Kluyveromyces lactis: one gene and its partners. The protein of the gene in region 1 purifies or fractionates together with the protein of each later gene. This does not show direct contact. Links are inferred from orthologs where the notes say so. Each region holds a gene or a part of one and is shown in the gene's direction. Other genes may lie near its edges. The genes, in order: FAP1, SMU2 and FPR1.

Region 1 (4,253 bases):
AGCAGCACCATCAGAAAGAATGTCACCGTACAAGTTTGGTGCAACAACAACGTCGAAACATTCTGGTTCTCTGAACATTCTGTAAACCATGGAATCGACGATTTGTTCATTATATTGGACACCTCCGTACTTGTCCTTGTTAGCTTCATAAGTTTCTCTGCATACCTCTCTGAAAAGACCATCAGATTGTGAAAGAACATTGGATTTGTGAGTAACTGTTAAAGTGGCATGACCGTTCTGTTCCAATCTCTGTTGAGCGATTTGTAGAGCGATAGTAGCAATGTTTTTGGTTGCTATTTCGGTAATTCTCTTGGTAGCATCTGCAACTCTGGTTCCGGTGGCTTCATCGATGTATGACTTTTCCAATTTAATGTATAAATCTTCAGTGTTTTCTCTAACGATGACTAGGTCAACTTTTCTGTCCTTAGTACCATCAACAGATTTAACAGGACGAACGTTAGCGAAAAGTCCCAAATTCTTTCTTAGGGCAACGATTGGAGAAGAGTAACCTTCAACCTTAGTCGTTGGTGATTGCACAGCACCAAATAAAGCACCTTCACATTGGTTCTTCAAGATATCAATGGTTTCGTCAGGGAGTGCCTTACCGGTGTTTTGGAAGGTTTCCCAACCAGCTTGCAAATCAATGAATTTAAACGATAGACCGTACTTTGGGTTCAATGATTCTAAGATCTTCTTACCAGCAGGAATAACTTCTTTACCAATACCATCACCTGGAATTAAACCAATTGTTAAATTCTTCGCATTGGAAGCGTAAGCACGACGGGACAATTGAATGAAACGTGTTCTCATCATATTGAATGGTTGTTATATAGCGAAATGAAACAATTCGCTGCTTGATCTTCGGGACAAGTAGTTCGATAACCTTAAAACAAAGTAAAATGTGATGGTTTTCACAGAATCAACTACAGCTGCAATCCAATCCAAATCGTAACACTGGGGTGTATTTATAGTTTACAGGTTATTCAGTTTCCTGTAACTCATATTTCTTTCAATGATCCCAATGACTGGTTGATGAAATTTCGAATTTCCACAGGAATTTATCTGCGATTCATTGGGAAACTGAAAACTCCCTTTCGAGCATTTTGAAAGTAGTCAGGTGACTAAACGATAGATAACCGTATGCCTTCACGTAATACATAAACATATATGTTGACACATCAAGGAGGACTTCTAGATCTGATGTTGCAGCATATAGCATTGCTAGTTCGATATCGATGGGATTTTGTCGTCAGTACAGGTTTTAGGTTATACGGATTTTGGTACAATTCTCTCTTTTTTCTTTTGCTGCCTTTACACTTTTTTTCACGTTTTTGTATGTAAAAGTCATCTCATCTCATCCCGTCATACCGACTCTTAGCTTAAATCTAAAATATAAGCGTCCATTCCATCAAACGCGTCACTTGATCGCAGCAGTTGAATTAGAAATGACTGCTGAAGAGCTAATATACCCAGAAAGTGAGCCAAGGCTCTATTCCTCTGATTCGGATTTTGACAGTGATAACGATGAAGATACCAATATTCCTTACTATGAGCAAACCGTTAAAGAAATCAAAGATGGTGATCAGTATGTGTGCATGATTTGTACAGTGGAGCTTGATTCTACATGTCGGATGTATGCGTGTGATTCCTGTTATAGAGTTTTCGACTACGAATGTGTCAGGGAATGGGCTTTAAAATCTACAAACAAAACGTTAGATAAGTCTTGGAAGTGTCCCAACTGTTACAAAATCAACCATAAGATTCCAAAACAGAAAAGAAGTACCTGTTGGTGTGGAAAAGTTGTCAATCCAGATGTTAATGAGCTAGATCCTAATTCCTGTGGTCAAACTTGCAATGCATATTCATGCGTACATGGTTGTTCCAAGGTTTGTCATCTCGGTCCACATCCTGAGTGCCTGATCCCTGTGCAAATTAAATGCAAATGTGGAAAACACTGTAAGCAAATCCCTTGTTCTAGGTCTAAAGTTCTAGGAAACTCCTATAATTGCGGTGATGTTTGTGGTTTACTTTTGCCTTGCGGAAAACACACTTGCCAAAAGACTTGCCATACTGGATTTTGTGGTCCCTGTGAAAGTATAATAAAAACAGAATTGCCTTGCTATTGTGGTTCTGATGTTAAGTCTGGGATTCAATGTTCCGATCTTAGAGTTTTGGACTATTCTAAAGATGTGAGTGGCAAAAAATGGATCGGTGTGTATTCATGTGGCGAGGTTCGAACTTTACATTATTCTTGTGATCACCATACATACGTGGAGCAATGTCTTGCGCCTGCAGGTATAGATAGGTCGAGACCCTGTCCATTTTCTCCCAAGACTCTCAAGACATGTCCTTGTGGAAAAACTATGCTAAAAGAGCTGGATAAACCCAGGAGGAAATGTACTGATACGATTCCGACATGTTCCAATGTATGTGGGAAACAGTTATCGTGCGGGAAACATACGTGTCCTTTTTCATGTCATACAGGTGATTGTATGGACCCATGCTTAATTATTACAAAGACTCCATGTACATGTCACTCGAAGACGTTTCTTACTCCTTGTCAGCTTCATGATACCCCTCGCTGTAACATCAAATGCGAATCGAATATGTCCTGTAGAAGACACAAATGCATGGAAATATGTTGTTCGGGGAAACCAGCTGCTAAGAAGCGAGAGAAAACTTTGTTCCTGAAAAGAGACCTTAACAATGAGACTCTAGTAGAGCCTGAACATGTCTGCTTAAAACAATGTAATTTAAAACTGAGTTGTGGGATACATGATTGTACATGGAAGTGCCATCCTGGCAAATGCCCACCATGCTTGGAATCGGATCCAAATGATTTGGTATGCCCGTGCGGGAAGACTGTCGTTCCAGCTCCTGTTAGGTGTGGTACCAAACTACCTCCGTGTCCAAATCCTTGTATAAAAATTTCTGAGGGCCCAGCTCCGTGCGGACATAGAGTTGGACCTCATAAATGTCATCCTGCCGGTACAGACTGTCCTCCTTGTACGGCTAACGTGATTAAAAAATGCAGATGTTACAAAAAGCACGATATGCGTACGTTGTGTCTTGTTCCAGACTCTCAGGTGGCCTGTGGTACCGAATGTGGGCTGCCATTAGCAACATGTCATCACAAATGTCAGAAGAAATGTCATGTTGAAGGAGAATGCGAAATCAAATGTGCCAAACCATGCGGGTTGAAAAGAAGTTTATGTGGACATCTTTGTAAAGAAAAATGTCATGGTAATTCACCATGTCCGGAGAAAGTATGCCATGAAAAAGTCGTCATCACTTGTGACTGCAATCGTCGAACAAAACAGGTTGAGTGTGGTGCTACCCACGACACTCAAAGTAGATCAGAAACTGAAAAATTGCCATGTGATGAAGAATGTGCAAAGTTGCAAAGGCATATGGAATTGATGGAGGCTTTTGGGATGAATGAAAAGCCCAAAAATACAAAAGAGCAACTGGAATCCATTGTTCTTGTTGCTAAAAAATTTGATGATCTAAATATGCCTTACTCTGAATTGGTCTTGAACGTTTACAAAAAACAAGTGAACTGGTGTGATCAAATTTGTGCTGTTTTTGATAAATTCATAGAGGACACTCAAAAATTAAGTCTTCATTTGAAACCAATGAGAGTACCACAGCGTCAATTTATCAAAGAGTTGGCATCTGCATACGCTCTCTACTCCGAAAGTCAAGATCGAGAACCAAATAGATCAGTTTACCTAAAAAAGATCCAATCACAATCTAAGAAGCCGGAGTTAACACTCAAGGACGCATCAGAACTCTATCAACTATTTAAAACATTAGAAAAGGAAAGAATGCAAGAACATTACTCAACAAAAGTCACGAAAACCTTAATTAATATCCCCGCATCCGAGACACCTTTACCGGCCCCATACGAGGGCCCTAATGCAATAGTCATTTCCGGAGTGTTCGATTCAAGCCAAATAGATAATATCGAACCTCTGGTGCATGATTTCTTGAAGTATACTTTAGTGAAAACACCTCAATATCGCTTCTTGAAAGACTTAAACTCAGTTTTGATTTTCCCAGAGAATTATTCGGGTATAACAAAAAACACTGCAAGTGATATGGAAAAAGTCATTCCGTTTATAAAGACAGCACTACAAGATCAAATGTTGGCTACAGGTGTGGAAATGTGTCAAGTTGATGAGAATTTGTCCCTAGTGTCTCAAGCATAAGAGAAAAAGCCGGCCAAAAAAGTACATATATAAAAAAACTGA
Region 2 (2,662 bases), on another chromosome or scaffold:
TGTTTTACTTTCTAATGGAAGTCTATCTCAAGGTGTACTTTCTTGATGTTGATCCAAAATCTCCTGAGATCAAAAGTATTCTATACACAATGGTGAAAACTTCTTATAGCAACCCTTATTACTCATCTTGTGGGGTGTGCTGCCATCCATCGTTGTTCGTAGGAGCACTCACATGTATTATAGCTGAAGATGATGTGCTTTATGTCCATTTCATCGACCTTTTGAGTAAAATCACCGACAGCGGAATGGCAGTTGCTAAAAATAGTGTAGACAAGCTAAACGCCATCAAAGCTAATGTTGCAATTGGTGCTTATCAGAATATCATCAATCCTGATCATGACTTTATCCCCATCTAAGTTAATATTCCCTTTCAATGTCCAAAAAAATAACGAAGTCAATCACTTTAAATGAATCCTCTAAACTGGAACAAATATCATGCCAAAGTTGTACTATTTCAATTATAATATAGAAGAATATAGATTTTCAATCAGTTACTTATTTATCTTGATGTGTGAGAATATATATATATATCTCCCATCCAAAATTCATTCAATTAAGAAACAGCTTTTTTAGCGCACAGATTCAAGTTTTTTACGGAATTTTTCTGTTATTGTTTTGAGTTTAAGGTTCAGTTTAGGGAAAAAATGCTCTTCAAGTCGTTATTAATTCGGAATTAAAATACAAAAATGGCGTATCCTGCATATTTAAACAAAACATAGAACGGTCGATGCAGCGCTCAAAAATGTAACAAAGGAGAAAACAGCAGAGAGTATGTCGTGCCACAAATTTTTTACGGAATGCTAACTAGAGATTAAATGGTGATAGTATTCCTAGATTTACTTATGTTGACCGTCAAAAACCTCAATTAACTAAAGGAAAGCTCGTTTTTTGCTTTAAATAGGAAATGTTTTCCACGGAAGTCTAAAAAAGTTGTAGTATTCTTTAATAAATTTCAAAAAGATGAGGAAGATCATGATCTTCGAGATTTTGTTTGTTGCCTTCTCGATACCATCAAAGAACAGTATTAGAGGTGAACACCTGAAAGCTCAGAAGCCACGTAATAGTCAAAACATCATAATTCAGAAACTAAGGAGGTTGAATATCAAGTTTGATAGATTGAATTCACTTTCAAATCTCCAGAAATTGACCGCCAATGACTATATGTTTCTTTATTCGATGCCTTCAGGAATGAGTCGGTATTCATTGAGGCAGTGTCGCAACTCTGGTCACGTTTTTTCTACAACAATCAGGTACCAATTTTGTGAAAAAAAACTGAAACTTTATGCATTTAGGCAGTAGACATGGTAAGTTAATGAAATATGAGATGAGATCAGTTTATAGAGAATGAGGGAGCTATGAAAAAGAACTTAAGCTATATAACCATTGGTATCTCAACCGTTTCAGCGTACTCTGCTCGGTAGATATTATTTTGAGAGATTCTAAATATCAGGCCAAGCAATCGGGTTACCATCATGTCTGCGAAAGCTGCAGGAAAAGTTGAGAATGGCGTAATTAAACATACGAAAGAGAGTGAAGCTGACAAGAGAAAAAATGCTGGACATAGTTATAGGAGGAAGAGAGGGAGACGGTCAAAGGCAGAAAAATCAGTACCTGCAGAGAAGGCAACCAGTCTTGAAATTACCGCCAAATCATCCCATAATGAAAATGCAGAGAAAAAATTCAAATTGAGAAATGCCTTGAAGTTGCAAAGAAAAGCCGAAATTGACCAATTGTGCCATTTGGCTGGGTCAGATATTGTAATGTTAAGGAAAGGACAATATGTCACGACCTACTCGCTAACGTTTATTACCACTGATCAAGATCAGAATCAAAAGAAAGTGAAATGTGTTTTCAACATTCCGGTCGATTATCCTCAATCCGCCATAAAGCTAAGTAAACCGAAAGACTGTTCTTCAGATGACCCGTTATCACGAATTGTAAACAATTTCAATTATAAATCAAAAGCTTTACTCAAAGATAAACAGCCGCTAGTTATACAATTAAACTATTTGGTTACCAACTGGAATTCTTTGCAGTCTCCGGAGTATATAAATAGGGACACGGTACAGAAGAATCTGATGTCAAAACTCTCTGATTGAAAAAAAAACACAGTAGCGAATAATATGAGTTACTCATCATATTCATCGAAATGGTCATTACAGAAGAGGGAAACTACATTATACACACGTTAATATTCACTCACTCCTTGACGAAGACTGCAGCAGCTCCCATACCAGTACCGATACACATGCTAACAACACCAATTTGACCAGCGTCTAATTCCCTTAATATGGTAGCGACTTGTCTGGCACCAGTGCAGCCCAAAGGATGACCTAAGGCAATCGCGCCTCCCCTTGGGTTCAATTTCTTCTTGTCGATTTTTAGATGGTTGACACAGAAAATGGCCTGCCCTGCAAAGGCCTCATTAATCTCGTAAACATCAACATCGTTGACATTTAAACCACAGTCTTTGAGGACTCTTGGAATCGCATATGCTGGGCCAACACCCATGATCTCAGGTGGAACACCTACTGCCTGGAACGCAACGTACTTACCAACGATTTCCAAACCCAATTTCATGGCCATGGATCTTCTCATTAGCAACACACCAGCAACACCATCTGATATCTGAGAAGCGTTACCGGCAGTTGTCACACCTGTT
Region 3 (2,484 bases), on another chromosome or scaffold:
CAAATTCAAATGCGAGTGGCTCAAAATGTGTGTGTTCAGCGAGAGGATATCGTGGATTAAATGTGTGGAGAGGGCAGTGAATTTGAATCAGAGCAGAGTTAAGCTTGATTAACTGATCAATTAAGACTTCGAGACTTTTTTCCTAAAACTGCATGTTACTTGACTTACCTCAGACAACCATTCAGCAAGGAATGGGATTCGAGTTGAGAGAATATTCCGAAAATAGCGAGATCAAGACGGATATGGACTTACAATAGTGTGCTCGGTATTAAACCTTGCACCAGAAAACTGTGGGTATCTTGTGAAATGACTACAGTGTCTTATGTGAAATTCCAATACATCATCACTAGGAGCAGGTTAGTTGGCTGAAAGTGGTAACAAAAGAAAAGAAGTTTGAATGTACAAAGAAGAAACGATCAACGCGAATAACTTTATTTCAGCCTGTGGGCCTAGAAACAGTATGAAACAGTGCACGAGTCGAAACTTGCTTTCAGTGGTATTAACAGAATAGGCAAAAAATGCGGAAGAACCATTTGATCCGTCATTGAGAAACTGTGAAGACGAAATCGGAGAACTCTTTAGTCCACCTTTCATTCGATAGCCCATGGTTACGGAACTGAATTGCAAGACTATGTACATTTTTGTACGACGTAACATATTCGCTGGGCAGTTTCTTTTCTGCGGCTCAGTCAACGGAATATTTTGCAATACTAAATGAAACTTCATAACATGTTAGCTAATAAGCCGCTCTAAGTATCACCAATTCCGTTTATGAATAAGAGTCGATGTGCTACTGTGAATTCACATCTACTCGACTACAAGTTGACCAGCACAATTAGGATCAACCTGCTTTTCCAGAAATGTTCTCTTCTAGACCCAGTAACCAAGAATTTGCTCACTTTCCCTTAACAGGTATCGAGGCGTTAATTCTAAATAAAGCAAATGAGGGCTGAATTACAAAGCACCATACCTCAAAGTTTTGAAAACCTGGCTCTTGCTATAGTTATTCACCTTTTAATTATCAAGCAATTATAAATCTCAAACACTTCTGGACATACAGATGCGGACAGAGCATAATAGCAAATGAGATATTTCGTAGGATATTCGATGTAGTACGGCTTAGTGACGTCGGTTGTTGTTCAGGAATGTACAATTTCAGGTGATTTAAAAACCCTATGCTAAAAGGTTCGATGATCTTTATTTGAACTGACCTGAATGTTGGCTGTGCTGCCGTTGCGTCTGCTCAAACCTCTTACAGGCATGTTTCCGCGAAAAGTGATTGCTTAAGTAAGAAAGAAAGAATGCAGTCACGTGACAAATGCTGAAAGTCTTGAAGTCATTAAATACGTTACCACTGCTTCTAGAAATCATTATCGTTCAGAAAACAAAAAGTTTTCATTTCTATAATAAGGATTCCTACATTCTACACGAAACTGTTGCAATTACGAGGCCAATTGAGTGCTATTTTGTGTCAGTTTAATCCGTTATTGTATTGCAGTTTTAAAATAACTCAGCTATCACACATCAAACAGCAGAAACAATGTCCGAAACAATTGAAGGTAACGTTCAAATTCTAAGATTATCACCAGGTGACAGTACCAACTTCCCAAAACCAGGCGATTTGGTAACAATCCATTACACTGGTACTTTGGAAAACGGTCAAAAGTTTGATTCTTCCGTTGATAGAGGTTCTCCATTCCAATGTAACATTGGTGTAGGTCAAGTTATCAAGGGTTGGGATGCTGCTATTCCAAAGTTGTCCGTTGGTGAAAAGGCAAGACTAACTATCCCAGGCCCATACGCTTATGGTCCACGTGGTTTCCCAGGTTTGATCCCACCAAATGCTACTTTAGTCTTTGATGTTGAATTGTTGAAGATTAACTAGATGTATAATGTCATTCTTCTGAATAAAACACATACTATTAATTTCCTTCACATTTTTTCTTTGGTTTCTCCCTTGATTCCTTCCAATTGGTCCCATCCATTATTATTATTATAGCTTTACATCTTTCCGTACCTTCTCATCAACCTTTCAACATGGGAATTGCTATCAAATTGTAGCCGTAGTGTTTGTATGCTTCCATTTTAACATTCAATTTTTGTACATCAACGAAATGCCTATAATATAAACCATTAGCTATATTATGTTGTTATTGCATTATTGAAAAAACAATCAAGAACAACTACTTCCTGCTTCTAAGCCTGCTCGAGAGCCTTGTAGTTGGTTTTGTTATGGATTTTCTTCTTGTTCTCCTAGCTGGAGAATCCACGTCGGCAAGATCTTCAGGAACTTCCTCCGCAGCGGCAACTTTTTGTTTCTTAGGGCGCGGCTGTTGAGATGATTCCGTTTCGTTCTCTTCTGCTTTCCCTGTCGGCGAATTAGCTGATTCCTTGGCAGCACCTTCAGATTCATCAGCAAATGTGACTTGTTTTGTAGCTGTAGTATCTGCGGCATCAGCAGTCGATTCTTTTTCGCTACCAGAT

The links.
Region 2: the proteins of FAP1 (region 1) and SMU2 purify together in Saccharomyces cerevisiae (affinity purification with mass spectrometry; 3 studies listed by BioGRID). This does not show direct contact. The link is inferred for Kluyveromyces lactis from reciprocal best matches to the Saccharomyces cerevisiae genes FAP1 and SMU2.
Region 3: the proteins of FAP1 (region 1) and FPR1 purify together in Saccharomyces cerevisiae (affinity purification with mass spectrometry; 3 studies listed by BioGRID). This does not show direct contact. The link is inferred for Kluyveromyces lactis from reciprocal best matches to the Saccharomyces cerevisiae genes FAP1 and FPR1.

The regions. Positions count from the first base shown.
Region 1 is NC_006041.1:747,230-751,482, reverse strand, and holds FAP1 (Fap1p), read left to right. Parts: upstream 1-1,445; coding exon 1,446-4,211; downstream 4,212-4,253. Other genes in the region: LYS12 (homoisocitrate dehydrogenase), read right to left, coding at 1-813. UniProt on the Saccharomyces cerevisiae protein: May play a role in transcription regulation.
Region 2 is NC_006042.1:999,427-1,002,088, forward strand, and holds SMU2 (Smu2p), read left to right. Parts: upstream 1-1,472; coding exon 1,473-2,099; downstream 2,100-2,662. Other genes in the region: KLLA0_F10835g (Zn(II)2Cys6 transcription factor domain-containing protein), read left to right, coding at 1-356; POT1 (acetyl-CoA C-acyltransferase), read right to left, coding at 2,200-2,662.
Region 3 is NC_006037.1:1,009,868-1,012,351, reverse strand, and holds FPR1 (peptidylprolyl isomerase FPR1), read left to right. Parts: upstream 1-1,540; coding exon 1,541-1,885; downstream 1,886-2,484. Other genes in the region: EAF7 (Eaf7p), read right to left, coding at 2,184-2,484. UniProt on the Saccharomyces cerevisiae protein: PPIases accelerate the folding of proteins. It catalyzes the cis-trans isomerization of proline imidic peptide bonds in oligopeptides.